Linked DNA regions of Drosophila melanogaster. Changing the gene in region 2 together with the main gene of any one other region gives a genetic interaction. Each region holds a gene or a part of one and is shown on either strand. Other genes may lie near its edges.

Region 1 (4,882 bases), on a different chromosome or scaffold from region 2:
ATACATGTTGCACCCATACTCTAAGCAATTGCTCCAGTGTACTACTGAACTGAGAGTCGTTTGGCAGTCGGCCAAGAGGGAAAAGGATAGTGGAGGAGAGGGGAACGAGACGTGTGGAGGAGTGGAGAATGTGGGGAAGGACGAAAGAGAAGAAAATCATCATAGACGCAGTTATGGGTTGCAGCTGTGTTTGTATTGGTATACCCAAACAAATAGAAGTAGAGAAACATAGGAAGAGATAGAGAGAGGCAAAGTCTCTTTCACGCCCCCGACACCAAGCCGCTGCCGTCCCCACTACTCAGCTGTCATTGTTGATATTTTGTGTTTTCATCTTGAACTTTTGTGGTTCAATGTGTCTAGCCAACCCCAAACAGAGCGAAACTCACCACATGCTAACCACTGTCACCGTCAGTACGACCACCCCCACAGTCCCGCACCACCTTGCCCTTGCATTTTGCCGGCTTTTCTATGCGTATGCGTAGAGAGCGAGGTCGTCTCTCTCGCTCTGGCAAATGCAATTCTCTATTGCATTCTACACTTGAACTTGCCCAGCGTCAACTCAACGCACACAGCGACGTTAAGTAAATACGTAGCGATTCGAATGATGGGGCTGGTGGTGGGGGGAAGGGATGGGCAAACAATTATCTGCAGCGATGTGTGCGTATCTGTATCTGAGTATCTCAGCTCGCTTTGCGCTGACTTTTTAACCACAATGTATTCGAAACGTGCAATTTATACGTCGCCCAGCAGACGGCGGTGATACGTGTATGTGTATGTATACATACGTACATACTCATAGATACTGTTGTGGCTGTTAGTTTGATCTGCGTTCTGTTTACCCTCCTGGTGATCTTTTTCCTTTCCGTCAATTACGTCTCGTAGTGTCAATATTCTGCTTCAAACAGCGGTGTCTACTGACTTCAGGTGGATTTCCCTTCCAACGAATGGAAAACAGTCCTTCGGAGGACTCTCTATGGTTTTCTAACTCGATCTTATTTATTATTCATTCAGCTGACGTGAGAAAGTATTTTTGGCCACATGAAACGTTTTCATTGTTTTCTTGTTGAGATATTTGCTACATATATGTATTCAAATAATAAAGTTTAAAGGGACACTGAAAAATGCAATTGATGTTAGAGATTATTGAAAATAAAACTTGGAATGTATCGAAAAGGTGAAGTAGAGAGACTGTAATTTAAGCTAAATATTTCAACTTATCCTACTTTTAATTATTGCAAGTTGTGGCACTCCTTCCGATTTATTATGGACCCTTTCGTCCCACTATGCGAGAATATTTCAAATGTACGTACATACGTGTGAATTTGCACTTGTGCACCCGAAAGTAGCGATGAACGAAAACGAACGAAAAAAAAAAACAATAAATAAATGTAGAAAACCGAAAATAAAGCAGCAAGAAATGAAAGCGATGATGGCACTCATACTCACGCATACACGGCCATATACGCTCGCACACAACTCACAGATACGTGCCGGAGAGCGGACAAAGAGTATTCCACGATTGCAATTGCATCGGCATTTTCATTCAAGCCGCTTGCTCAGAGTGTGTGTCTGTGGCTGTGTGAGTGAGTGCTGCCTGCGTTTCACATTTATCTTTAGCGCCGATTCCGCTTTTAACTCTCGCTCTTTTAGCGCCATGGTGTGCGTGTCTGGTGAGTTTACTTTGGTGTGCGTGCCAGTGTGGTGAGTTTGAGCGTTTAACATTCTGCTCGTCTCGCTCATTGATTTAGTATTTTTTTGGACTTTGTTGTTAACGGTTGTTCGCTCGCACGTACGAAGCCCGATCGCGTTCGTCAAAAAACAAGATACAAAATACAGCACACACAATTGAAAACGACAACCTAACAGTACGGTTTCCCAAAGCACCTTACATTTCAAAACCGAAAACCCCCAAAATGTTGTAACCAAATAATGTTTAAATCACATATACACCTACATATATTTATGAAAAATTGTTAGACAAATCCCAAATAATACCAGTTCCCCCAACAACCGCAACAAACACAAGTGCAATTCATCGGCAAAAATTAATATAAAGTGCAAATGCATTGTAGCTGAAACTCAAACAATAGTAAAAATACATACATAAGTGGTGAAGAAGCAAAAGGAAATAGTTCTTAAAATAACGCAAATCGAGAGCATATATTCATATTTGTACAGATATTATATGGCGGCTGCATAGTGCAAACTGCGGCTGAGGGAATACAGCGGTATCGAAATGTAAATAGGAAACAACGAAGCCAGAACTCGAAATCAAACATCAGCAACGTGACACACAGACATAAGACGCCCGTCTAGTCGTGGTCTGTGGAACGCTAGCTCCGCTTTGCCAGGAGCCGGAGACTTTTTCCGCATCCACAATATTACATATGTACATATATCGAAGATAGTGCGCGAGTGAGTGAGGGATTTGTGCCGTGGATCCCGATCCCCTTACATATATATAAAGGTAGTGAAAAGATTTTACTCAACATTCCAAATAGTGCTTTGTCAACTGGAATACCTTTTGTTCAAATACGCAGTGGGCCCATGGATACTTGTGGATTAGTAGCAGAACTGGCGCACTATATCGACGCATATGGTGAGTGTGGGCACCTTGGAATCCAATAGAACCAAGCGCTTTTCCATAACAACATTTTGTGGTCAACTGCTTAACGAAAGATCTGAGTTAGGCAACAAGTTCGCTGTTCGGAGCCGAAAACTATTTTCGATTTGTTCAGGCCCTAATGTGTTTGTCTTGGCGCACTTGTCACTTCGCGTGCGCAAAATCAATTTCCATTTCTTATTCATCCAGCCGAAATGAAAACTACATTACCATTAGATCTTTTCAATGCCAAGATACACAGATCATATGTTCGCATAGCTGAATACATGCTGTACATACAGACATTATGATGTCCCAAAAAGATACACATGCTTGGGATGGGGGTTCGATTGGCAATACATTAATTATGGTCATGACAACTGACAGACGGTCAAGACAGAACGTTGAAAATTGTGTATTTCGCCTGCGTAAACATAATCAAGCCTCTTTCGGGCCACCATAGATCCCCGGTGTAGACGAATATGTGCATGTCGGTCTAGGAAAGCACTCGACTGCGTAATTGGCATGTATTTCCATAAATTCAAGTGGGCATTCAGTGAATTCAGCCAACAGATTTACTCTGATTTTCACATATATTCTGTTGATAAGGTTTAATTCGGTGTAAAACGTATTCGATTTATTAAGTGCCGAAAGAACGCTCAAAAATGATTCGATACAGATTGGGCACTTGAATCGTGTTGGAGAAGGTAAAATTGTGGAACATGTAAATGCTGTTCGTCTGAAGAGACTTCACTTTTTGGATCCAATGACTTCAATTGTTAAATGTTCAATTCTACAATAAATGTGTAGTATTTATTTATCTTATTTTTGGTATATTGTTTAATAGGTACTGCGATATATTATTATACATTATAAGGCGAGTCCTCTTGTGCGCTTGGGCTTCCCTATTTTAAAGCGCCTAATGAGGCATTAGGTAACAGCATTAGGTTTGCGCTTAGGTTCCAGTAAAGTCCCCAACATTAGTTTGACTCTCCCACAATTAATTTGTTCCATCCCCCCGACGACACAGACTTACCGCCACCCGTTGGCCTTCGTTTCCTGGGCGGGTCTGGTTAAACTTTCGACTTCATGGCTCTGTTTTTTGATACCCTTTACTCACACAGCATTTAAGTTCTAACGATGACTGAGCTGTGCAAGTTTATTTTTAGTCTCGGCCAAGTCCAATCTAAAGCTCCTAGAAATTCGAATAAGCTCAAAAGCCCTAAGCTGGGTTTTTAAATGAAATTCCTCTACAGGATGCACATAATTCAGAATTGTAGATTTAGTTTTAAACGTGCTAGCGGGTATCTTTTAGTCGAAGCACTCGACTAAAGATTCTCTTTTCCAACTGCTTTTTGCACATTAAGTTTTTCGCTATTTCTTCTTTGCTACACTTTCTGGACACAAACAAAGAGCACAAAAAAAGTAACTTATATCCTATGGCGTCGACAACTTCGTCTTCGCTGCTGTTGTTTATGTTTTATGGGACATTAAAGTGGCCAAATGGCAAATTTTAATGCGATTTTATGCAAATATATAGACACATGTATGTCTATACATGGGATTCAGTGTTGTGGCTTCGCCCAGGCTGAGAAAACCGAGTTACCAGTGCTTTTATGTCGAACCCTCTATGCATTTTTACAATAGTTTGGGGTTCTTAGCTAAATGACTTTGACATGAAGAAATTATACAAGCAAATGGAAACGATCAAAAGATCTGCTTAGTGTTCTGAAAGTCCTACCACAGACATAACAACAATTATGACTACCAAATCCGCACGAATTAAAATGACCCTGGATAATCGAAATACCTTATTTTATATCACAACTGTTTCCAAAGTGTCACACACAACCCCCCTTTAAAAAGGTTCAATGTAACCGCGTCTGGGGGCGACGATACTAATGGGTGCAGACCAGTGGGTCACGAGACAGAACACCACTCCGTTCTTCATCCCCTGGATGGAAATGGGGAACGGGAATGGCAGAAATGGCAAACAGGTGCCATTGTATGTGCTCTTGTATCAATTGCATTGAGTGCCTTATCTTGTCAGCCTTTTCTAGCTGGTTTTCCTTCCCGTTCGGTCTGGATGGACCTAATTTGTGTATGTGCGGTTAAGAGTAGCCTGCCATAAAGCAATCGAGCTTGGAATGAGTTGTGCCTTCTCCCCGACGCTCTTGTGGACTTTCACAGACCAGCAACAAAGTCGAGCTGCCAACACTTTCGCAGACAATCGCCAATGACAGAGAGTTTCCATGACTTTCCACAGTCCAGACAAAACAA
Region 2 (3,800 bases):
AGTTGGGTGAGAAATAAAAAGCTTTTGCCGGTAGGAGACTTGTGGAACATCACCCACAAGTGGCGGACTTGGCCTTGGCGATGGCCTTGTTGGAGCTCCCTCAGCAAAAATGTTACATAGGGGGAGGAAATAAGCTCAATTGGCTTTATGCTTTCCGCTCCCTGGAAGTCCTTTTCTGGAATGTTAAAGTGTTAAATGACATTTATTGAACATTTGGGACAGAGGAGGAGATAATACAATATACTTGTCTAATTAAAAAAAATCGTTATTATGATTTATTCCATATGTAAGATTTTAATTCATCATGATTGTAAATAAATTATATAAAACAAATTCAATAAATTTACATTATTGATAAAATTTATTTTTTCATGAAATTATACCCAAAAATTATTCTCAATTTTTCTTATAATCAGTTTTGCATAAGTATACTTTCTTCATACCCCTCTACCACAGCCACTGCTTTCTTGACTTTGCAACTATCCGGGAACAGCTTATCATAATGGATGAGCTGCAGCTAACGGAAAATGGGGGAGCTGGGATCAAACATTTTCCAAGGTTGAAATTGTCGTCAGCATAATGTTTGAGGGAGCTGGATTCGCGTTAGCTTGAAGGTCAATCCATTTGGGTGCCCTTTGTTATGGTCAAGTTTAAGGCTGCAATAGGGGGAATCTTCAAGGACCATTACGCAAGGTTTTCGCATCAAAGATTTGCCGTGCAAGCTTTTTGAGTTGAAGGATGCTTAACTTGAAAGCGGGTTAGTGGTTCCAAGAGATTTTAGGTGAAGGAGACTCCGCTGTTTTGAAATATATTAAGTATGTAAAGAAGTATACTATAAATAACCCAAAGTGATACAATGTAAGAAAAGATCTCGTTGGTCCCTGGTATAAATTTGTTTGCCATTAATGAATATTGAAAATAATAATTATACTAATAATAGGTACAATAAGCAAGATTAAATTGCATTTAATCACCAAAAATCAGTTTCTATGCGAACCAAAATGTCATAACAAACAATTGTTGATTCATCCGTAGTGAAATCCAAGTTCGAAATTCGAAATGAGCATACGACGACCAAACTTCCCCTCAAAATTGCTAGACTCAGCTAGAGCAAGTACGCCCAAGTTAACCCCTGAAATTCGAAATGAATTCGATGCCGCGCTTCGAACAACGAAATCCCAAAGAGCTTACGTTTTATTTGACGTAGCACTCTTACGTGAAATGATTTTCCCCAATTCCGCTCTCATTTCCCGAGTCTCTCACCGCTTCTCAGCCACTTTCCCACCCCCTTTCTAGTTCCGAAGTAAAGGTAACAAAGGCAGCCGTGTCTTTGGGGTGGTAAACTGGCGGTGGTGGTGGCACATTGTCAGTGGTGTGGGTTCCTGTGGTTGGTGGTTCAATTGGTTGGTTGTTGGCATAAACAAAGCACACACACAATACACACAAACTCCCGGGGGGTGGTGGAAATTGGGAGGGTGACATTCACTGCGAGAGAGGAACTCGCTTCCTATAGGAAAGTACAAAGAGAGCTATTTTATAAATGTGACTGCAGCAAGGATATTTACAGTCAGTCCACTCTGAAACCTCGACGAGAGAACATTGAATAACAAGCGGAAGCGAAAAGCGCAGTTGAAAGTTCGTCAAAAAGCGACAAGTTTCCTCGTTCGTTTTCCCGCCAAATGAGTCAGAAAAATTTTCCAAGTGCTCGATACGAAACATAAAGACTTACAAGACTTAAAGTGCAAGCAGTGAATGGAATATATTATTCCTCAGCGATATTGAAATCAAACATTAAAAATATATGCTACACTAAAGTTATATATTTTTTTAAAGATTCATACGTTTTGTAAAATCACATTTTGTATTAAATTAAATACCGCCATGGCCATCGCCTATTTCATACCCGACCAGGCCCAATTGTTGGCCAGAAGCTATCAGCAAAACGGCCAGCAGACAGCAGCGAGTCCAAGGACAACTGCAACAGCTGCTGCACCATCGCAGCAGCAGCAACAATCGCAACAACAGCAGCAGCAGCAGCGACATCATCATCAGCAACAGCGCCCACAATTCCGTGCCAATATTTCCGTGCCGCTGGGAAGTCAACAGGGATCGATGACCATGTCGGAGTTTGGATGCTGGGATCTTTTGGCCCAGATCTTCTGCTACGCTCTGCGAATCTACAGCTACAGTTCGAGCCAGCGTCAACCGACGGTCATTCAGATATCCTTCGAGATCAGCAGCGGCGGTCAGAACAACGATGAGGACGACGTGACTGATGCCACCTCCAAGGAGAACTAAATTTGGTTTCCATATTTCATCCTGGTGGAGAGAAAATCTTTGGGATTTTCTGGGAAAGGCAGGCTCAATCAAAGCGCATTGTGATTTCTTTTTTGGGTATGGACACATGAGGAGGAACGAGTTTTGTAAAACATGGGATATTTCCACAACAAAATAAGAAAACTATTTTTAAACTATTTTTGAGAGAGAGAAAATTCAAAATTTGTCATCGACTTGCTTAAAGTGATTTTGGTTGTTTGTTACTTTTTTGGATGTCAAATTTTCCGATATAAGTTTTGAAAAAATGTTTAATTTTGCAAGCAAAGGTTTCCCGGTTGGTTCAAATACATAAACATACTTAACAACATTTAGAGAGCATAAAGAGAAATGTGTAAAATTGTCATAAACCTTATTAGTGTCTATACGTATGAGCAAAACCACAAGTATCGTACTCAACTAACAAATAATTGTCAAATTTTCTACTTCAACTACTTCAACTACATTTCAACTACTTACAAATATAAATCGTAAACTAATATTACAGAACTACAATACAGAACCAACAACAAAACAAAGATGCAACCGCAGCAACAAGAATAACAAAAGACAACAACTCAATTGTACAAAATAGATTTTAAGCAAACAGCAAATTTTATATGTTTACAACAAAGAGAGAAAATACAAAACGTCTACAAAAAATAGAATACAAGAACCGCCGAACAGAATACATTTTAACAAAAATTAAACAAAACAACAACAAACATTTAAGCAATTTTGATACGAATAATCAAGAATAACAAAATTTGAAATGTATCTTATCATTATTATTGATTTTAGCAAAATTCAAAACATATTATTTTAATTTTGGCATTGCAAATTAAACAAGAAATATTGAAATTAATCACATGTAAAGATAGCATTTGTAAGAAATTAAAATTTTTATAAGACAAACAAGCAAAAAATAAATACAATTTTATAAAAAATTAAAAAATACTTTGAACGATTATTATTGTCCCTTTTCAGAAAAACATAAAGAATTTTACCAACACCATTGCCGAGATATATATATTTAATTACCTTTTATTTCGGAGGTGTAGAACTCTATTAAAATGTTTTTGAAAAATTATTCGAAGCGTTTTTAAAATATTTTAAAAATAAACTAAAACGTTTTTAAAATAAATTCAAAAGAATATTTATTTGTTTCACCAAAGTTTTTATAAAAAAATACGTCAAAATAATATGAAATTTTGTTTAATACACTCTTTTAATAACCGCTTATGAATTAAGCCTTTGTATTCCATTTTGGGCAATGAAATGGCAAAGGATAACCGTCCTGCCAGGAAAAGGCGGAGTAAGCAAACATTTAGCGATCGCTATCGTCAAAACCAATATGTCACCTTAAAAGGGAAAACACATTTTTGGTTAAGGGCAGACAGAGAATTTTCCCGTCGTGTCATGCCAGGCACACTCCACCCAAAAGGGTTAAAAAGCAAAGGTGACGCTTAACCGCAGATCCCAGTTTG
Region 3 (4,622 bases), on a different chromosome or scaffold from region 2:
TTCAAACCAAATAGTAGGGTGGTGTCTTCGTGCTTAAATTGTGAATTTTTAGGCAAGCGCAATAAATCAAAATTACCGTTGAAAAATACACCAATTGAAAGTTTTTAGGCACTTATGTATATGTGAGTAAAAAACATTTTCGCTTGCGATATGCACAAGATAGTGTTAACAAAGACACCAGTATAATAATATTCTAGTTACATATTGTTACATATGTAGGACCTTTTATTATTATTAATACTCAAGATTAGAGTTTTGAAATCAGTGGTATTGCTCACCCATAACTTGAACACGGCAAATGGCACAGATATCGCATTCCACATCCCAACTCCACATTGCAACTGCGTTCCATTTCTTCAGCGTAAACATTTTTTCCGGTTTGCCGGCATCTCCGTCGTCTGTGGGCCTATCCACTGAGTTTTCTGGATCATCAGCCATGTCAAAAAAGTCTGGGAAACTGACCAATCCACTGGGCTAATGAGATTCGGTTTTTTAATATTTTTTTTTTGTTTCTTGTGTATATCCTCCTGTATGGGAGATTTTAATTAGTATTACAAATAGCGGTTTAAAAATGTTTTTTAATTTTACAATACAATATATTAATTTTTTAAGGTTCTTTTATTTTTAATTTCCCTTTAATGTTTTATGTTTTTATTTTTATTTGGTAAACAATTTTAAGTTTTATTCGACCCCGTTTTTAAATATTTTTCTAACTGTTAATTTATAGGGTATTAGAAACTCTAAACCGGACCTATCTTAGTTATTGATTATTAGCAAATGGCAAAGTGGTCTAACCAGGTCCGGACATCAGTACGTAACTCAGGTTTAGGATTTTAAATAAGGTAATTATACAAATATTAGGAATATTACTCGAAAAATATGCTTAATAGGCGTAGGAGAGCTACAAGTAGAAAAGTTCAAAAATGATCAACAGGTGTTGCTTCCTTCCAACTGGTGGCGATAATTCTACGAACAAACGGTATATTAGTATTAGGGAACAGAGTAACGGGTATCTGATAGTTGAGCCATTCGACTAAGCGCATTCTTCTTGATTGTTTTTTGTTTTATGAATATTGGTAGCTGCGGAATAGGGGGATAGACTATAAAGCCTCTCACTTATCCCTGGTAAAAATGTAATTTACTTTCGTAGCAAGTGGCTGATACGAATTTTAATGTTTTGCTCAACTTGCCAAAAAGTTACTTCTTCCTCCGAGAACAAAGAAATGCCATTCTCAGTTGTATACGAAGGAAAGGTTATCACAGTGTTCGTTAAGTTGTTAACCTCACTCCTACTTCTTGCTTAGTTTCGGGCAAATGATAAGGAACCGCCGGTTTGACTTACCAACAAATAAGAAGTCGAAATAATTGAATGTAAACAATAGCAAGCCAAAAGTCAGTGTGGCCACACCAAAACAAGGGAAAACTATTTTCAGTGTTGCCACAGCCATTTAGGGGATACATTCACCTTATATGCACGGACACACCTATCGACGACCGATAATTAAATATCGATAAGGCGGTTAATTTGTTTTGTGATTTGGTTTTCGCTTACTTCAACTTCGGTTCAATTCATTTTCAGCCTTCGACGAGTGCGGAACGTTTGCGGCAGCGTTTTTCGGCCGCGCTTCTCAAGTTTCAGCTTGCGTTGGGAAATAAACGGTTGGTTTCCAATGCACTAACACAAATTTGACAATATAAATTATTTGCGGTTTCCGGTGATTACTTTAAAATGAAAACCTTCGAACGACAAAAGCTGACCGTGAATATACAGCAACCTGATTCCGATTCCGTTGCCAACCAGAACGCGCCCCGCATAAGTAATTAAGTAATTTCCATGCCGCTCAGCCGGAATCTAACAGTTCAGCCTTATTATTCGCCCATCGTAAACTGAAATTGAAAAAGATAATGGCAAATGACCCATTATCACTATCAGCACAAATGGCGCATCCGACAATCAAAGATAAACATCCCGTATCAATGCGATCCGATGCCAAATGTGCGATAAGCCGATTAAGGGAGTGGTATTTTAGTAAATAAATGTGGAGAAATTAGTTGTTTTTCACAGTAAGCAATAAATTTTCAAATAGCAAATGTAAAATCTACATAAGCCTTACAAAATGACGACGTGTTAAATGCCAATTAAGAGCAAATATCACCTGTGGCTAATGAAAATGTGCAATTTAATACAACCGCAAACAAATGTGGAAGTAACAAATAATGAAAATTTAAACAGATAAAGGTCATTTCGTAGACTTAAACACAAATGAGTGTCAAAAGCGATACGGATAAATATCAATAATTGCAAAATAAAACCCTTGAGTTGAACGCCCTTTTTTTTAACCGGAATAAAGAAGTAGCAGCTGAAGGAGAAACAGGCCAACAGCAAGTTTAATTTAATTAAATTTCGTTGTTTTCTGTGTGCGTGTGTGAGTGTGTTGTTGTTGCTTTTGTTGTTGGCTTTGCTGGATAATCAACGTAATGCTTCCACCCACATCGCGCGAAAGAGATAGCACTAGCGCAATTGACTTTGCCATAAATGATTTTTGGTTTTTTTTCTGCTATTTCTTTCTTGTTTTTTCATGCTTTTCTGTTTGTTTGTTTGTTTGTAAGTTGGTCGCTGGCAATTAGTGGAACGACAAATGTTTATTGACAAAGGCATTGGACACTTTGATTTACCGGGTCTATTCGGTTAAATTGTTTATGATTTTTAAGCGAAAATTATAGATATATGTACATGTGTATGTACATATGGGGGTGTTGTATCTCAGAGATATCGATGGTAAATGTGACACTTTGTGGGTGTATCTATAATCGTATAAAGTGGAACTCTAGTCGCTAAAAAATAAAATCAAACTCTTAAAGGCAGTTTTGTTTTCCTTATAAGCTAGATCGATAAATTTCCACAGCTTACCAGTAAATTTTCATTTAGAGCAGTTTCGAGTATATACAAAAGTGTTTAAAATTTTGCATGTGAAACTATAGCAAAGTTTCGAACATGTACATATAAATTTCAGAAAGCATATTTTAACAGGTTGTACATATATTCAAGATTTGAATGTCATAATTCATTTCAAAAGTAACTATCTGGTATATTTAAAAACCAAATTCCATCACAAAAGTGTGTTTATTTAATGTTTAAAAATGCCAATAAATGCTCAATTGCAACACCCATTTTCCAAGTATGAGTGCAAATGTTTTAGGGATTTCGAACAAGATCACTTCATGCCCCCGATGCCACAAAGCCTCGAGAAGTAAATGCAATTAACTGGCGAAAAGCACTTGCGCCCCCTTGCCCCTCCCTTTAGACCATATTAACTTGGCTTTAACGCCGTGCACGTTCGATTTGAATGACGCACATTGGCGGCTGAATGGTTGAAAAAGTGCAAAATCAACAATTAATGAACTGAACAATGTTTGCCACCTGTAACGTCTGAGGATGGTGTAAATTTCCAATTGCAAACGATGTCAAACAGAGGCGTTTTACCGTCTGCTAATTTCCCATTTTCATTTCAAGCCGAATGGCCACAAATAATACAACAAAAAATAATGAAATAATAATAATACAACAAAAAGCAGTAAAACCGCAAGATTGCGGCTATTTGCAAGCACTTTATGTGTCGTTTATGATATAGTATTACTATGCGCTGTCACTTCGGTCCGGCGATCAAATATGCAATTAAATGTAAAAAAAAAAAAAAAAATGGCAATTTAATGAACCCACATTTGATTAACCAATCAGCAGTCGAAAGTCAAATTGCTCCAAATCGCTTGTCATGCGCTCCGCGAATTTGATTCAAGCAAACAAACTGAGAGATACAAAAAGATATGCGAAATTCCAATACGGAGTCTGCGTAACTGTCAAATGTTGTAAAAAATCAATAACACAAATGTTAACATGCGCACAATGCTAAAAACGCATAAAAACGAGTCGAGCGGCCAATAAGGTTGGCAAAAAATGGCAAAACAAAAAATGAAATCAAATAAAATGAAATGAAATGAAATGCCTGGCGACGCTTTAAGGCAACTCGGTTTGGGCCAATCCAAGCCCGAGATAAAGCATTTGACACTTTTGGCTAATAAAAGTTGCTAATGAGTGCGCGCAACTCGCCGATTCCGAGTTGTTGATTTAGTTATATTTTTTGTGATCCGGCCAATCGGAAAGCATTAATAATTGGGTGTTGAGAGAGCAGTTTTACTGCACTAATTGTGCATAAATAAATAACAGCTTGTGTAATCCAATTAATTTGCAAATAGTTAAGTTGAATCGCCGAGGGAGAAGTTATCAAATGGGTAGGCTGTCTAGAAGTTAAAAGGCTATTTTATTTCCTTTAAATTGCTGTATTTTTATGAAAATACAGGTATACAAATTAAAGTTCAGGCATATTAAAAATGAAATTAAAAATAATAAAAGTTATTAACTGCTTAACCAAGAAAGAGATCATATATGTACATATATACATTTTCTAAGCATTTTATGTTTCGTGGTTTAAGAAGTATTATATATAATCTTGCATTTGAAATATGACATACGATTATGACATGTTTTCAAATTTATGGTTTTCGAAGTTCTTTTCATTTTTAATTATTGGATTTTTTAATATAAAGAATTTCTTTCTTACTAT
Region 4 (5,186 bases), on a different chromosome or scaffold from region 2:
AAGAGCATAAAGCGCCCACACTCCGTAAAATGCAGCAGCAACACCAGACACACACACACACACTTGAACTCTTCCTTTGAAATACTCGCAGAATATACTCACACGAGCGCGCGTTTGGTAATTTCGATTTCACACATAAAATTCCCCGTAGCTTCGGTTCGGTTCTTCTAAATTTTGTTCACTATCTTCTGCACTTCTTGGCGTTGGAGCTTGTTAGTTTTTCGCGACCAGAACTCAATGGAGCTCCCTTACGAGCAGCGCACACGACTTCACGCGGAGAGCTGAAAACGATTGCTTGGATACCAATATTTTGGTACTTTTGAGTAGAGCCGTCAAAACATCGATGCTACTATCGATAGTATCGAACCGTGCATGGCGATGATATCGAGATAGTTGTGAGCAGTGGAATCAGACTGTTGCAAGCTAATAGGCTAATCTCTCGGGGCACATCACTTGAAGACCGTTGGGATTTAAAACTTAGCAAAATAAATAAATTATTTTAAAGAATTTTTGCAATTGAAAAGACAAATTTTTTAACATTTACATATACATTTATTGGAGAATGCATATAGTTGTGTGTAAACCATACTATCAGCGGCCTATAAACATGATCAACAAAAATACATACATGTGTTAATAAGAGTACTATAACAAGAAATCCATGTGATCTGCGGTCGTGCCGGTGCATTGATACCCTTTTCAGCGCGAATTAGAGCTGCTCATCTATATAAGGTCATTTCAGCGTGCATAATGTATGGTTCAAAAGGGATGCGCTCGGACACAATGCGATAGTTAGTAACGACAACTTACAACCGTAGCTAATGTAAAAACGAATAGCTGCAGTTGGCCAAGTACTTAGTAGACGATTAGTAGACGATTATATTAGCTAATCACCGGATAATTTGAACTTCGCTGTAGTAGTTTGTGTGGGTGCAATCAATCGATTTGCTTAACTGCTAACTAGGCTGGTGAACTCTAAATGATGTCGATATGCACTTCACGAAAGGAACGTGCGCACGAATCCCTTGATGTCTGCGCGGCACATGGGACAATTGGCTACACTGGGGGCGCACTGATTGCAGGTGGCTGTCGGGTTAACAGGAAGTTAGCTACAGCTCAAGGCAATCAAGGTATAGTTCAGCGACTTACCCAAGTGGCCACAGGGCAGGAACACTACGCCAACCTCCTCGTCCAAGCATACCTTGCATAAGCGTGCATCCTTTAGCTGGCGGTTTTCCTCCTCCAGCGATAGGTTTCCGTTCGGCGTGGCCACCGACATCTTTTGTATTTCGTCTGTGATTTTCGATATATTCGCCACTGCTTCAGCTGCCTGTGGTTTGGCTGGGATGGAATCGGCCACCGGTATTGGCACAGATGCTGCCTTGCTGGTGGTGGCCTGACATGGTTCAATAAAAGGAGCACTTGGCTCCGGCGGCTCGCGCACCTCCAGTGCAGCTCCTGCGCCCGCATCGTCAAAGATGTCATGCAATAGTTCGTCCAACGTAGAGAAAGCGCAGCCGGAACTCAAGAGCTTGCGCTGGATGGCATTGCGCACAACTCCTCCATCGATACCCAAGGCTAGGGCCTCCTTGGCCGGAGCTTCATCCATCAGTACGTCTGCTTGGAGCGTTGGAGCCGGAGCAGTTGCTGGCTGGGAACTGGCGTTGGCAGCTGTTGTCGCGAGCACTTCGCTTACATAGGCTGGACCCTTGGCCAGCAAAACGAACTGACACTTTGGCGACCACTTGGCGTGTTCGAACCACGGCTCGTCCTCCTTCTGCCAGGAGCGCAATCCAATGTTGCAGTGGAAACAGCGCACCTGGTCGCCTATTTTCTGATAATATAGGCCAGCCTGCGCCAAAGCCGAAGCGGGCTGAATATTGGAAATGGGCCAATCGGTGAAGGTTCTCAATCTGGCGTCCACGCAGGCGTACTTGGGACGCAGTGGCAGAGTGGTGGGCTGGATGCCCAGCTCATCCAGGTTCTTCCCGGTGGCAAACTCTATAAGGGGGCCCATTTGCACACGAGGACATTGGGGAAAAAAGCGCTTGTGCTCTTCAAAGGCATTGTCGTTCTTCTCCCACTTGGCAATCACTCCGTTGCACCAAACACACTTCACGTGATCCAGACGGTTCAGGTAGTAGAAACCTGCCTTTGCCAGAGCCTGCGGCGTGATGTTGGGATTCTACAAAGGAAGACGTTTTGGGCTAAAGTTAAACTATCTTATTCAGTCATTAAAAATATTTGAAATTATACAGTATACAATAACTTCATTTGAAGTTCATAATGATTTTTGTATATCTTAATTAAAGCTTAATTTCGTAGGATTATCAATCAACATTCAGCTGAATTGAGGCAGCTAACAAGACATTTCTTGTTTGTATACAAAAATATCATTGATACTTTCGACCGGGATTTTCCTGGCCTCATTTACGCTACTTTTTAACTACGCAATCATACTTACATATGCACTTATAGTGAGCTTGAAACTGAAACTATAGTGATTACAATGACCCGCTATGGTGAATCACCAGAAGCGAGCGACACCAGCTCAGGGTACTCACCGGCCAGTCCTTGAAAGTTACCAAGCGATTGGCCTCCAACAAGAGATCGGGACAAGAGCAGGACTCCGGGCTGTCCACTACGCTGTTTCCCTCGTTGTCGCTCTCCTGGCTCCTGGGAACATTGCCGCAGTGATTGGGAGCCAGAACCATGGAGCAGATGGGCGAGGAGCGGCGATGGCGCTCCGCCACTTGATCGCCGTATTCCCAGCGGTCGATGCGCACGTGGCAGAAATGGCACTCGGCCTCCAGCCAGTTTCCCGTGGCAAAGAAACCATTGGCGACCAGATCCTCCGCGGAAACTGGGGCATTCAGGGGCCATTCCCCAAATGTCGCCAGGCGAACGCTCTCCAGCTCCATGCCCAGCTCCGTCATCGTGGCGCTTCTAAATTGGATCCGAATGGATCCACCAATGATGTAATGCCACCAAGGGAATCACCAGCGAGCGCAGACGAAAATGAAAATAAGGTAAGGTAAAAATATAAACTTATTGTAGCGATGTAAAAATAAGCATCGATGTTTTTCGATACATCGTCAATGTTTCATCGATGAAATACCAACTTAATGGGCACTGCTTACAAAAACAAGGTCAAGCAGTTTACCTTGCTATTCGGTATATCCAAACCTAAGAAGTTTCCAGGTATTTCACGAGTGCCATATAACAGCCAACTATTTCAACAGCTGTCCAACCAACGATATAATGAACCAAAATCTCTTGTTTGTATTTTGTACGTTATTTATTTATATCGAGTTCTTCAATCAGTAACATTATACCACTTCCACAGTGCTCTGCGCCGCGCAGGGCCAGGCGGAACTCTCCGGATTACTAAGTGCCCTCCAGTATTTCGGGCTCTTCTCAAATTTGACGGTGTATTCCCTGGGAGTTTCGCGGGGCCAGTGCCATTATAGCTTCGAAACCTTGCTGAAGGAGCGACACACATGTGCCCCGGATGACGAGCACATCATGCACCTAAACCAGCTGCCTCCGGTTCGAAAGCCACCTATTATGATGAAGTGCCTGCAGCGGGATATCGAGAATGAGACAGCATCCGAGCCGGAACTGCTGATAATGCGCAGTGCCAAGGATATAGTGAATCTGCTTAAGCCCATGGGCAATGCCACCAAGCGCCACGAGCCGGGCAACTGTGTACTTGTCCATTTCTGCACCGCATCCAGCTTGGAGTGCGCTCGTGTGGCTTCGATGGTCAACGTGCTGCCCCATTACTTTCCCACGCTACCCATCGCCTATGTGGATGCCTATGAGTTTGGTCGTTTCAATGCAGAATTCGGCATCGTTTCGCTGCCCACACTGATGCTATTCCACCAGGGCAGGCCGCTAATCAAATTCGAGCCCGGGTGGAAGGACACAAAGAGCAGCTTTGCCAGTTTCATAATGAGTCACACCAATATGAAGACTGTGAATCCGCAGGCCATTGATCCGATCATCCTCACTCGCGCAGAGATGGAGCCGCTGTCTAATAAACCCATTGTGCAGACGGATTACTATTTGGGCCTGGCTTGGGCCTTTATTCTCGTCTGCCTTGCCAACTTCCTGCGTAAGACGGCGCTCTGGAAGCAGCTGGTAGAGATGGTGCAGCGCATTTGGCGGGAATCCGAGGAGACGCAAATGGAGATGGTGGACTAGTTAGTTAATACGTTTAATTCTCTATAAGTCGCATAAGTAGAACACTGGATTTACTATTATAATGTAATTACCATTTAATTAAATTCACGTTAACATTTACTTAGGCCTTACGAATTACATGTATTTGGGGAATTGGTAATTGTTGTTTTCTATCGTTCGGAGCCTTCAAATCAATTGTGTTCATTTGCACGCTAACTGGCATCCATAATTTAAAGCTTAGTGGCTAACAAAATCTAAAAACTTGAGAATTAATCAAATAATTCAAACTTATAATTACGATTTCATATATATTCCATTACTTTCATTGAATTTTTCGATTAGGTCTGAGAGTGTGTGTTGTAATGATTTCGGCGTTGAATAGTCACATTTGTTTTAAGTAAATTTAAGCAAGTTGTTCTGTATCCTGCGTGCACATCAATAGCATCTTGAAGTTGTACATTTTTTAGTGTTGCATTCTGGTCGACTCACGCAGGATAAGACAGAACTGGTAAAGAATTGTGTTTGTTAAAAAATATTTGAATTGGTTTTCCTGCTATGGAACAGAACCCAACGCTTTGCTTCCTAGTGTTTTTGAGTGTGCGATGCGGAAGATGTTGGCATACAGATGATCACGTTTCTACTACTTCTTCTTGCCGCGCTTGACCGCCTTGTAGGAGCTGGCCGCTTCGTCCTCCGTGTGAAAATGTTTTACGGCACGTTGTTGGCGCCTCGGATTGGCGGCATAGGGATGTGGATGTATGCTGCTGGCGGAGCAGAAACAAATGTTCATTAATTAACAGAAACGATTAATTAGAATAAGGCACAATACAAAACAAAAGGTATACATAATAATCATTCGTACACAGGCCAATTCGAACGCAAGTGAAAATTTATTAACAGGAAGAGAAGGTCAAAGGGAGCATTAATGGATGATGTGGGCAAGCGAGTGATGGATTCGTAGGATTCGCGCATTATGTCGTTCAGTGGTGGCGCAGCAACAG

Evidence for each region.
Region 1: of grim (region 2) and EcR, changing one suppresses a phenotype caused by changing the other (phenotypic suppression), as found in Drosophila melanogaster (2 studies listed by BioGRID).
Region 3: of grim (region 2) and Buffy, changing one suppresses a phenotype caused by changing the other (phenotypic suppression), as found in Drosophila melanogaster (2 studies listed by BioGRID).
Region 4: of grim (region 2) and Diap2, changing one suppresses a phenotype caused by changing the other (phenotypic suppression), as found in Drosophila melanogaster (one study listed by BioGRID).

What each region holds. Positions count from the first base shown.
Region 1 is NT_033778.4:6,128,783-6,133,664, reverse strand, and holds the start of EcR (ecdysone receptor), read left to right. Parts: upstream 1-1,823; 5' UTR 1,824-2,547; coding exon of another isoform or gene 2,548-2,599; intron 2,600-4,882. UniProt on the Drosophila melanogaster protein: Receptor for ecdysone. Binds to ecdysone response elements (ECRES) following ecdysone-binding, and recruitment of a complex containing the histone methyltransferase trr, leads to activate transcription of target genes.
Region 2 is NT_037436.4:18,302,181-18,305,980, reverse strand, and holds grim (grim), read left to right. Parts: upstream 1-1,563; 5' UTR 1,564-1,881; coding exon 1,882-2,298; 3' UTR 2,299-3,262; downstream 3,263-3,800. UniProt on the Drosophila melanogaster protein: Activator of apoptosis, independent of rpr and hid, that acts on the effector Dredd.
Region 3 is NT_033778.4:11,677,928-11,682,549, forward strand, and holds the start of Buffy (buffy), read left to right. Parts: upstream 1-1,564; 5' UTR 1,565-1,659; intron 1,660-4,622. Other genes in the region: Roc2 (regulator of cullins 2), read right to left, coding at 279-438.
Region 4 is NT_033778.4:15,931,635-15,936,820, forward strand, and holds Diap2 (Death-associated inhibitor of apoptosis 2), read right to left. Parts: upstream 3,192-5,186; 5' UTR 3,164-3,191; intron 3,084-3,163; exon of another isoform or gene 2,947-3,083; 5' UTR 2,937-2,946; coding exon 2,565-2,936; intron 2,186-2,564; coding exon 1,150-2,185; intron 1,087-1,149; coding exon 998-1,086; 3' UTR 536-997; downstream 1-535. Other genes in the region: bug (bunker gear), read left to right, coding at 3,262-3,289, 3,347-4,206; Mlf (Myelodysplasia/myeloid leukemia factor), read right to left, coding at 4,826-4,946.